Linked DNA regions of Schizosaccharomyces pombe. Changing the gene in region 1 together with any one later gene gives a genetic interaction. Each region holds a gene or a part of one and is shown on either strand. Other genes may lie near its edges.

Region 1 (5,945 bases):
CCAATGCGGCTGTTTTAGGTGCTTCTCGTAGTATTCGTCCATGAATCCTCTCAATGTACCAGTGTGTAAATTTGACTCCTTTGGCAATTCTAAGTTAAATTTTTTTGCCAAAAATTCTGAAGCAACTGCCATTTCCACCACTCGTAGATTGTAATTTGTTAATGCGGTTTCTTGCTTATTTGCTTCCACAAGTGTGTTAGAGATTAGAAATACCATGTCATGAGGTTTGAGTACCGGCATCTTAAACGGTGTTGCCATAAGCTTTGGTTTAAATTGAACCAAAAGCGCCTTGTTTTGCTCTCCATAGATAGAAGCACATTGATCCATACCGCCCGTGTTGACACCTACATAATGCTCGGAAACAACACTAATCTTGACGAGGTCTTCTTTGGTAATTGTATTAATTCCATTGGCTTTCAAAATGGCTAAAATCGATGCCACACAGAAGGCCGCCGAAGATGATAGTCCTCCACCAGTGGGAACGTTACCATCAAAAATCAACTTTAATCCTTTTAAAGGCTTCTTACCCCCACTGACTAATTCTGGGTATTTCTCTAAAATATATTTATGAGCAACAATCATAGAGCATCGAAAGTAGTTTCCCCAGGTGTGGTGGGTTTTGTTAATTTCAATCACTGCCCCGTCACTCGGTAATTCCAATATTTCCTCCTTGAATTCTGGATTCGTGTTATTCAACTCAACTTTGGCATCATCACTTGTGGTAACTGAAACAATAACATCAACGTCAATTGCCATTGGCAATACTGAAAAGTAGTTGTAGTCAATATGTTCGCCAATGATGTTTACTCTGCCAGGCGAGCGACTAAAAAAATCTGGCTTGCAGTGATATTTTTGTTCAAAACTGTTTAGCAACTTTGCATACCTAGCTTTGTTTTCTTTTGGGTTGGAGTAAAATGATAAGTCGTGATATGTAGGAACGGTAGCCATAATTTGAGACCAATCAGAAAAAATTACAAATGTGGTAAAGAAAAAGTAAACTTGAAAATGATCAATGAAAAGGTATTCTCTCCTTTTTTCACTTCTTTTTGAAAAAATATAGATGCAGCTTTTATCTTTTTGTTTATTTGCTCTGAAAATCGATAAACACTTCTTCTTGCCTTAAAAATTAGTTTGATCAGTCAAGCAAACCACGTTATACTACTACGATTATATAAATTGTCAAAAGTTTGACCCTTTTTGCCTTATTTACTTCTTGTTTACTGATTTATGTCATTTAGACTTTGCGTTACCTGAGACATACGGTGAAGTTAAAAGTGTTGCATGGAGGGTTCGGAAAACGGTATTCATAAAAAATAACTTTGTGACATTGATTAAAAAATATCAGTTGTTTAATATAAATAAAGGCTTTGCAAAAATATTTTTGGAATTCCGTTTGTATTAAGTTTCTTAATTTCTTATTTCAACCTCCGGACAATTCTCTGCGAAATACTTGGTAATTTTTTATAAAAGACCTTGCGACTACAAAATACACCAAAAGAATGACAATAATTCTCATACTTTTAATGGAACATCTGTGTCTTTATTCTTCTGTGCCCCCACATCAAATTCTCAATCCGCAAAAGATGGGTAAGTTAACGTTTCAACCATGTAATAGCATGCAGTTTAATATCATTTAAACGAACCGTACCCCACTGAGAAGAACCAATAGAGCACCAACCTAAGTTGAGAACTGTTGGGTATGCGCTTTTTTACGAAATCCGGTAATCATAGCTTATAATAAAGCGGAGAAGATGGGAGCTTTTGTTGCTTGAATATGGCTAGAATATTCGATGCAGAAAGTCACAGTTTAATTAACGAAACTTGGGGTAATGTGATTGTACGCCTGGAGAAGCCACGTTACATTTTAAAATTGTATATATATGCTTACGTTTGGAGATACTCTAGTCACACACATATCGCATATTAAAGCTAACATAAGAAGCCCCTAAAGAACCTTAACCCATATTTCGAAAACAAATTTTTTGAGTATTTTTTTAAGCTCCTTTTTGTTCTTTATAAAATGGCGGTTCAAGACGAATACATTCTTGTAACTGGTGGCGCTGGTTACATTGGTTCACATACAGTCATTGAACTAATCAACCATGGATATAAAGTAATAATTGTAGATAATTTGTGCAATTCGTGTTATGATGCTGTAGCAAGAGTCGAATTTATTGTGAGAAAATCAATTAAATTTTTTAAGCTTGACCTTCGCGATAAAGAAGGCTTGGCTCAAATTTTTGATACCTTTAAAATCAAGGGTGTTATTCATTTTGCGGCTTTAAAAGCAGTTGGGGAATCAATGAAATTACCACTGGAGTACTACGACAATAATATTTGCGGTACTATTACTTTACTAAATGTAATGCGTGAACACCGGGTCAAGACAGTTGTGTTTAGCTCATCTGCCACCGTATACGGCGATGCTACTAGATTTGACAACATGATTCCAATCCCAGAGTCGTGTCCTAATGACCCAACCAATCCATACGGGAAAACAAAGTACGCTATTGAAAATATCATTAAAGATTTGCACACTAGCGACAATACTTGGCGAGGCGCAATACTTAGATATTTTAACCCAATTGGAGCTCACCCATCAGGCCTACTTGGCGAAGACCCTTTGGGTATTCCCAACAATCTTTTACCGTTTCTAGCCCAAGTAGCCATCGGTAGGCGAGAAAAGTTGTTAGTATTTGGTGATGATTACGATAGCCATGATGGGACTCCTATCCGAGACTACATACACGTTGTGGATTTAGCTAAGGGACATATTGCCGCTTTAAACTACCTAAACAAAATCAATAATAGTGAAGGAATGTACAGAGAGTGGAACTTGGGAACAGGAAAAGGTTCCTCCGTGTTCGATATTTATCATGCCTTTTGTAAGGAAGTAGGTAAAGATTTACCGTATGAAGTGGTGGGCAGAAGAACAGGTGATGTTCTCAACTTGACAGCAAGCCCGAATCGAGCAAATAGTGAATTAAAATGGAAGGCTGAATTGAGTATTACAGATGCTTGTAGAGACTTGTGGAAATGGACGATCGAAAATCCTTTTGGATTTCAAATTGACAACTACAAATGGAAGTTGTTTAACACTCTTGGGATTATGGATTATAAGAATAGACTCCATACTATCTGCTTTCAAGATCTTGAGGTTTCCATAGCCAATTACGGAGCATTAGTGCAAGCAGTAAGATATAAAGGGAGGAATTTAGTAAATGGATTTAATGATTTTTCACGGTATAAGCTTAAAGAGAATCCGTTCTTTGGGGCGACAATTGGCAGATTTGCCAACCGAATAGCGAATGGACAATTTGAAGTGGATGGACATTTGTACACATTATGTAAGAACGAAAACAATAAAACCACCTTACATGGAGGAAATAATGGATTCGATAAGCAGTTTTTCTTGGGGCCTATCGCTCGACAGTATGAGGACTACAATACACTGGAATTCATTTTAGTTGACAAAGATGGTAACAACGGCTTTCCTTCTGACCTGGAAACCTTAGTCAAATATACAATCAAAAATAACTCTTTGGAAATTGAATACAAATCTGTTATTCCAGAATACTCGAAACTCAATGTAACAGCCGTAAATCTGACAAATCATTCTTACTGGAATTTAGCCTCTCCTAATAAAACTATTGACGGAACAATAATTAAAAGCACGACTAACGTCTATTTAAAAGTGAATTCGGAAACCTCGTTACCGACTGGTGATATTGTCGAATGGCAAAATGACATAACTAAACCAACCAAGCTTGACCCAAACATCTCGTTTGACAATTGCTTTATAGTAGACAGGGAAGCTAGCAAGTTCTGTTTGGACACACGAAAGTATTCTTTAAAAAATATTGTTGAAGTAATACATCCCTCTGTGCCGGTGAAGCTCGTGGTGTCTACAACAGAACCTGCATTTCAACTTTACACCGGTGATGGAAATGACATCTGTGAGTTTCAAAGTCGCAGCGGATTTTGTGTGGAAACAGGTAGATTTATCAACGCTTTGAATAATGAGAAATGGTCAAAACAGGTAATCTTACGCAAAGGTGAAGTTTATGGTGCGAGGTCGAAATTCTCCCTTTACGCACAAGATTTAGAAGAAAACAAACATTTTTTAGATTCAGCATCGTACAATAGTGGAGAATACTATTAAATGAAAAAACTTAATAAAACCCAGCCGATTAAGCATCTTTTTGTTCAATAAAAGGAAATTTGTGGTTTACAACGTTAAAGTTGTTTTAAAGTATTATTATGTGTTTTCAGTTTTTTCTCATTAATAGTACTCGTCAATTAATTTTCTTAGCCCTGTCTCCAATGGGATTTGAGGTCTCCAACCTAAACTTTTAATTTTTTCATAATTCAACGAATATCTTGAATCGTTGTAATTTCTATCTTGAACAAACGTTATGTATTTTGAATAATCCAAGTTTTTCAAAGACAGCTTTCGATATAAGAAATAGTCGCAAATGAACTTGACCAAACTTAGATTATCGATTTCATCATCCGAACCAATATTGAAAATCTGGCCAGACATCTTAGATTCAAGTGTGCTATGATAAACTTCACTTCCCTGCTTCATCCAGACCAAGTCTATTGCGTTAATAAAATCGTAGATGTGCAAATATTTTCGTTTATGTAACCCATCTCCATGCAGTGTGATTTTGTCTTGCATTATTTTCTGAGATTTTTGGTTAATGAACTTCTTTAGCTTTCCAAGAGTCATAGGAATTAGTTTCTCTTCGTATTGTCGAGGACCATATACATTATTTGCTCTTATCACAGTCACTGATATTTTGTACGAATATCGATATGATTGAATTATCAAGTCAACAGCAGCTTTGGATGCGGCATAAGGACTGGTGGGGTTTAACTTTGATTTCTCATCTACCGATGCATTTTCATCCTGCTCACCATAAACCTCATCAGTAGAAACATGAACGAAATTGAGTCGATTACGTAATTCCTCTTTTTTACCTAAAAGTATTCTTACGCACTCTAACAAATTTTGAGTGCTCAAAATGTTGTTTTTGGTAAAGTACAAAGGATCGATAAACGATCTATCAACACTGGACTCGGCAGCAAAATTTATTATGTGCGTAATTTTATTAATTTCGGAATCTTCAACCATAAATTGATACAAGAATTTATAATTCGTAGCCAGGTCCATTTCAAGAAATCGGAAATTAGGTTGGTTCAAAACTTTGCTCAAGAATACCGTGGTATAATTGCTCACATAGCTTAATTTGTCTATACACGTAAAGTGAAAGTCAGGGTATTTGTCCACAGCATAATCTAAAAAGTTTGACCCAATAAAGCCCGCACCTCCTGTAATCAATGCATATCCTTTATATTCTTTATAGTCCCCAGTCATTATCAGTGCCAACGAGATAAATTTAAGAAACGTACTTTTTTTAAAAAAAAATAGAATTATAAAAAATGTAGACGTGGTTTTATTTTATTCAAAATGAATGATGATATTTATGATATCAAGACCGTATAAGCAACGTAATTTTTCCAGCCCCTTTTCCGTGTGTTTGTGGATCCCTTTACTTATTTCATCTAACCTCCGCATGTGTCCCGCTTAACATACAATGCATGAGAAGCTTGAAACTTTATTCATATCATATTAGTCCTGTTTTACTTACTTGGCCCCCCACATAATTGCGGGTTCGGATATTTTGCAAAACATGTAAGAAAGTGGTATATATATACCGAACGAATCCAGCTGCTCGTACTGGGAAGCAAAGAGGAATGACTAGCAAAAAATTTGATTTTACCGAGTATTCACATCGTCGTTATAATCCATTAACGGATTCGTACGTTTTGTGTTCACCTCATAGAGCAAAGAGACCATGGCAGGGAGCTAAAGAAGAGATCAAGAAAGATGACACTGTAAAGTACGATCCAACATGTTACCTATGCCCTGGTAATATTAG
Region 2 (5,074 bases), 1.1 Mb from region 1:
ATACTTACCCTTGTAATTTCAATTTAATGTTAGACAAAGTTATTGCCCCAACGTCTCTGGAAAACGCGGATGCAAATTGTGGAGGAGGCAGAACTGGAAAAAGTATCAGCCAATCATCAACATGTCTGAAAAAAAATTCCAAGATATTTCTAAGCCTAGCTCGTAAAAACGGGTGACAAGACATGTATGGCGCTATCGAAGTACGAAAATAGAAAATTGCCAGACGATATTAGAGTAAAAGACACAAAAAGAATTTCATTTATTCACCCTATTATAATTTTTCAGCTTTCATCAATGTATGCGTACTAACTAAAAAAATTATCGGTGGTCATTTAAAAACAACAAAACCATCCAGCATTCATCACATGTCTTTCATCCAATCAAATGTAGTTATAGCTATTATCGTCCAATAGATTGCAGAGGCGGGATCAAAATCCCCTTAGGCAAAATTGGTAGGCTTCTCCACAGTTTTTCTCAGACTTGGGAAGAATGGAGCGGGGTAGGGAAATATAGCAAGACCCTGTCTTACAATGATTGGGCAAAAGCTTCACATATATGGGAGCAATATATGTACAATAGGCGCTTTTCACGGACATAGCAAACCTTGTTAGTAATGAGTTGGGCGTATTTAAGGAGGTCCCAAGGCCTCAAAAGTCGTTTACCAAGTTCATAACTTTTTAGGGACTACGTTAGTTAGCGATGAATTAGTGATGATTTAGTGTGCAGCGTTTACATTTTCTTAACACAGACAATTGCAGTACGGGTTACAGCTCCATATTTCTTCTATAGTCCGAATGAAGTATGGGCGTACACGTAATCAAGGGATAGAAGTATCCTTTTACACCGAACTGTTCAAGAGCGAATATATCGCTTGAGAATTCTGTTTTTTTTTGAAAAGGTTCATTGTCCATCCATATTTACCTTCTTGTTAGGGAGTCTCGCTAGGATGGTTGGTGTCGCGGTCGATGTATGGTCTCCAGGTTGGGGGCCCCTAGCTATCCTGACTTGGATAGGACAGAGATAAGATACACGTTGCGTGACGTTTTCTTAAAAAAAAAGAGCACGGCTATGCTCTATTCATGTTACTAGTTAATACTAGAGGAACTCCGCATTTAGGTTAGTTCCGTTATGGACTCGAATATGTGGAGCTCGAGAATGCAAGCAATCGAAATTTGAAGGATTATGGTTCCGTAACGTTAATTGTTCTATTGCCAGCTTTGAGATAGTCATGCAGCGATGAGAGTATGCTGTGTTTTAAACTTTGATATTTGCTGGTTCCAATACGTATGGCCACCATTGGTATTATTTTTTCGCCTTGCGAATTAATTTTACTGCAGACACTTTACTTCTTTTGCCTCAGGAAACGTTTTTTTGTGTTCAATCTTGATTTAACGATATGAGGAGTATAGAAATATACTTGGTTTTTTCGGTTACTTTGCTAAAATTATTGACGTTGGAATACACTCTGTATTTGCTAGCAGTCCGAACTTGCAGCCTCGGTCGCCAAAGTATTTAAATTTACTTTACTTTTGAGAATTATTCCTACATCACATTTATTGAAAGTCGTTTTTTCATCCTGTTATCGGCTTTCTACCTCACTAATAGTGTCTTTCCCCAGTATATGCATCAGTTTCATTACGTACAGTGTATCATTTTACGATTGAATTTTTTTTTTTGCTATGGAGAATTAATGATATCGTGACATTTTTACCTCGTTCTTGACTTTCAACGAGCTGTTGATCCTCGTCATACACGTCGTTTAAATTCTATTCCACATCTTATTCGTTCTTATTTGTGTGTGACTGCGTTTTTTTAAGTCGGCGTCCAATGATACAAGAGTTTGCTAACTACCTTGTTGCCCTTGTAATATTGTGACGTATAACCAAAAACTCTCCGGCGATCCTGTCTAAAATTTCACTGAAAGCAAAGGACTTTTGATACTTTTGTCGGGGTTTCTCTTCCCGAATTTAGTATAAAAGCTGCCCTCTTGACTGTTAAAATCTTTACCTAGACCTATTCTTGCTTTTTAAGTGCAAGAGCAACTTTAGTCTTCATTTACCTAAAAATCCTTTCTTTTTTTGGTTAAACAAGAACGAAATCCAAAGAAAGCTCAATAAAAGCATTGTGCTTTCCTTGGTTACCCTTTCTTTATACCGATTTTGAAAATACAAGCTCTCTGTGCTTGAAAATCATAATCTAGATTAATTTTTCTTTTAATTTTTATTTATTGAGAATCTCTTGTCAAGATCTCTAACTCATAAACTGTCTGTTCTTTGTTCTATCATTTCTGCTTAACGTGTTGCAACTGAAATAGACGTGTGGTTAATTTTATTCAATCTTTTATTTTCCACTTACATCCTTTCTATAGAATTTTTGTTTTTTTTCATCTTTATTAGATTCCTTTATACTTTATCAAAATGGGGTTCAAGCGTGGAAAGAATTTTACCCTTGTTATGTTAATTTTCGTCTCCATGGCCGGTTGGATGTTTGGTGCTGATACCGGTTCCATTGGTGGTGTTACTAGTATGCGCGATTTTCGTGAGCGTTATGCTGATAGATATGACCCGATCACCGACCAGTATTCTTTGTCTTCGGCTCGTCAAGGTCTTTTAACTGGTATGGTTAACGTTGGTTCCTTGTTTGGATGTATCATTTCTTCTCCCATTGCCGATCGTTTTGGTAAGAGACTTTCTATCATTGGTTTTTGTGCTGTTTATATCATTGGTATCATCGTTCAAGTTACCGCTGTTCCCTCTTGGGTACAAATCATGGTTGCCAAGATTTGGACTGGTATTGGTATTGGCGCTCTTTCTGTCTTGGCTCCTGGATATCAATCAGAGACTGCTCCTCCCAGTATTCGTGGTACCGTCGTCGTCACTTATCAGTTGTTTGTCACTGGTGGAATTTTCATTGCCGCTTGTATCAATATGGGTACTCACAAACTTCATAAAACTGCCCAGTGGCGTGTTTCAATTGGTATTAATCTCCTTTGGGGTATCATTACCATGATTGGAATTCTCTTCCTTCCCGAATCCCCTCGTTATCTTATTCAAGTTGGCAAGGATGAAGAGGCTGTTAGAGTTCTTTCTGAAAGTGCTGAGCTTTTTCCTGATAGTGAGGAAGTTCAAAATGAATATCACCGTCTCAAATCATCTATTGACGAAGAATTTGCTGGTGGCCCTTGCAGCTGGGCAAGCATTTTCGGTAAAGACATTCGTTATCGTACTTTCCTTGGTATGTTTGTTATGTCGCTTCAACAATTGACCGGTAACAACTATTTCTTCTACTATGGTTTCTCAGTTATGCAAGGAGCTGGTATTAATTCTCCTTACCTATCTGCTATGATTCTTGATGCAGTTAATTTTGGCTGCACTTTTGGTGGTATGTATGTATTGGAAAGGTTTGGTCGTCGTAACCCTCTTATCATTGGTGGTATTTGGCAGTCAATTTGCTTTTTCATTTATTCAGCTGTCGGTTCTCGTGCTTTATATCATAAGAACGGTACTTCAAATACCCGTGCTGGTGCCGTTATGATTGTCATGGCATGTCTTTTCATTTTTGGATTTGCTCAAACTTGGGCTCCTGCCGCATACGTTATTGTTGGTGAGTCATACCCTGTTCGTTACCGCTCTAAGTGTGCTGCCGTCGCTACTGCTAGCAACTGGCTCTGGAATTTCCTAATTTCATTCTTTACTCCATTCATTCAAGCTTCTATTGGATTCAAGTACGGTTACGTTTTTGCTTCTTGTAATTTGACCGGTGCAATTGTTATTTTCTTGTTTGCTAAAGAGACTAAAGGTCTTACTTTGGAAGAAATTAATGAGTTGTATATGTCTGTCATCAAGCCCTGGGAATCTGGTAACTTTAAGCTTAACTATTCTGAGCAAAAGAAAGTTGAGAAAGAGAAATCCAGAAAGGGCGGTGCCCGTGGTGAGTCTGTTGAGTATGTTGAGCGTGCTTCAAACACTGACTCATCTCCACAATACTCTTCCCATGAGGAAGATTACGCATAAGGCAATAGCTAAACGTCTTTGTATGATTTATGAATTGTGTGAGGCAGCTAGATCCAAAATTTGTTGTTCCGATTCGTTGGGTCTATATATTATATTATTAGCTAAGTTTGGATTGATAATTTGTTAAGTTACTGTGCATCTTAAATCTAGTTTTTTGAGATTATGTTCGTTTGCATATAATATTAGATACATGTGCATTCTTTGTCCATTTTTGTGTTTTTGTGTTCATTATAGGAAATAATATTTTTTATACCTAATTAAGTTTTTGTTGATTCGTTGCTTAGTAGCTAAGTATTTCCAATGTTAATAAATATTTGTAAATGTTGAAGTGAGTCATGTTTATACAGTGATTTGTAGTTGAATTTTCATTATATTAGTAAGTCTGTTACAGAACAATAATCATTTTACGCTTGTGTATCGCCCAAATGTACTTTATTAGTTATTAATTTTTAAATCAGCGTTGCGGGCAGTGTCGTATTATTCTGTATGATACGATTCGGCAGACTAATGTACTGCACTAAACTAATATTGTAATTTATTTAAGTTCAACCGAATACGGCTGAAGAAAGTATATTTCGTTGCTGTTCGATATTTACATTTTATCCTTACGCGCTTTTATACTTGCGAACCAAAATGGATTATGGGGATATTTACATTGCAGAGGAAACAGAATGGGATAAATATAATCGTCAAATAAATAAAAATCCAGATGATTTTGATGCTTGGTAGGATGTTGTCAGATACAACTTATTTAGTGCTAATTATGATTTAGGGAAGGACTGGTTCGTGCTTCAGAACATCTTGAGGGAGGTGTTGGCAGAAACTCTTCGAAACAGGCTATCAATACATTAAGAAGTGTGTACGATCGATTCTTGGGAAAATATCCGCTATTGTTTGGTTATTGGAAGAAGTATGCAGATTTTGAGTTTTTTGTGGCAGGTGCTGAAGCATCAGAGCATGTATGTACACAAGTATTATGCGATTTGTTATTTTTCTAATAAAAAAATAGATCTACGAACGAGGAATTGCTGGTATTCCACACTCTGTTGATTTGTGGACAA

What was found.
Region 2: of gal10 (region 1) and ght2, changing one enhances a phenotype caused by changing the other (phenotypic enhancement), as found in Schizosaccharomyces pombe (one study listed by BioGRID).

The regions. Positions count from the first base shown.
Region 1 is NC_003423.3:4,483,494-4,489,438, reverse strand, and holds gal10 (UDP-glucose 4-epimerase/aldose 1-epimerase Gal10), read left to right. Parts: upstream 1-1,903; 5' UTR 1,904-2,020; coding exon 2,021-4,162; 3' UTR 4,163-4,282; coding exon of another isoform or gene 4,283-5,380; 3' UTR 5,381-5,416; downstream 5,417-5,945. Other genes in the region: galactokinase Gal1, read right to left, coding at 1-948; tgd1 (nucleotide-sugar 4,6-dehydratase), read right to left, coding at 4,283-5,380; galactose-1-phosphate uridylyltransferase Gal7, read left to right, coding at 5,761-5,945. UniProt on the Schizosaccharomyces pombe protein: Mutarotase converts alpha-aldose to the beta-anomer. It is active on D-glucose, L-arabinose, D-xylose, D-galactose, maltose and lactose.
Region 2 is NC_003423.3:3,425,155-3,430,228, forward strand, and holds ght2 (plasma membrane glucose/fructose:proton symporter Ght2), read left to right. Parts: upstream 1-2,005; 5' UTR 2,006-2,417; coding exon 2,418-4,013; 3' UTR 4,014-4,270; downstream 4,271-5,074. Other genes in the region: U1 snRNP-associated protein Prp39, read left to right, coding at 4,647-4,738, 4,786-4,972, 5,023-5,074. UniProt on the Schizosaccharomyces pombe protein: High-affinity glucose transporter.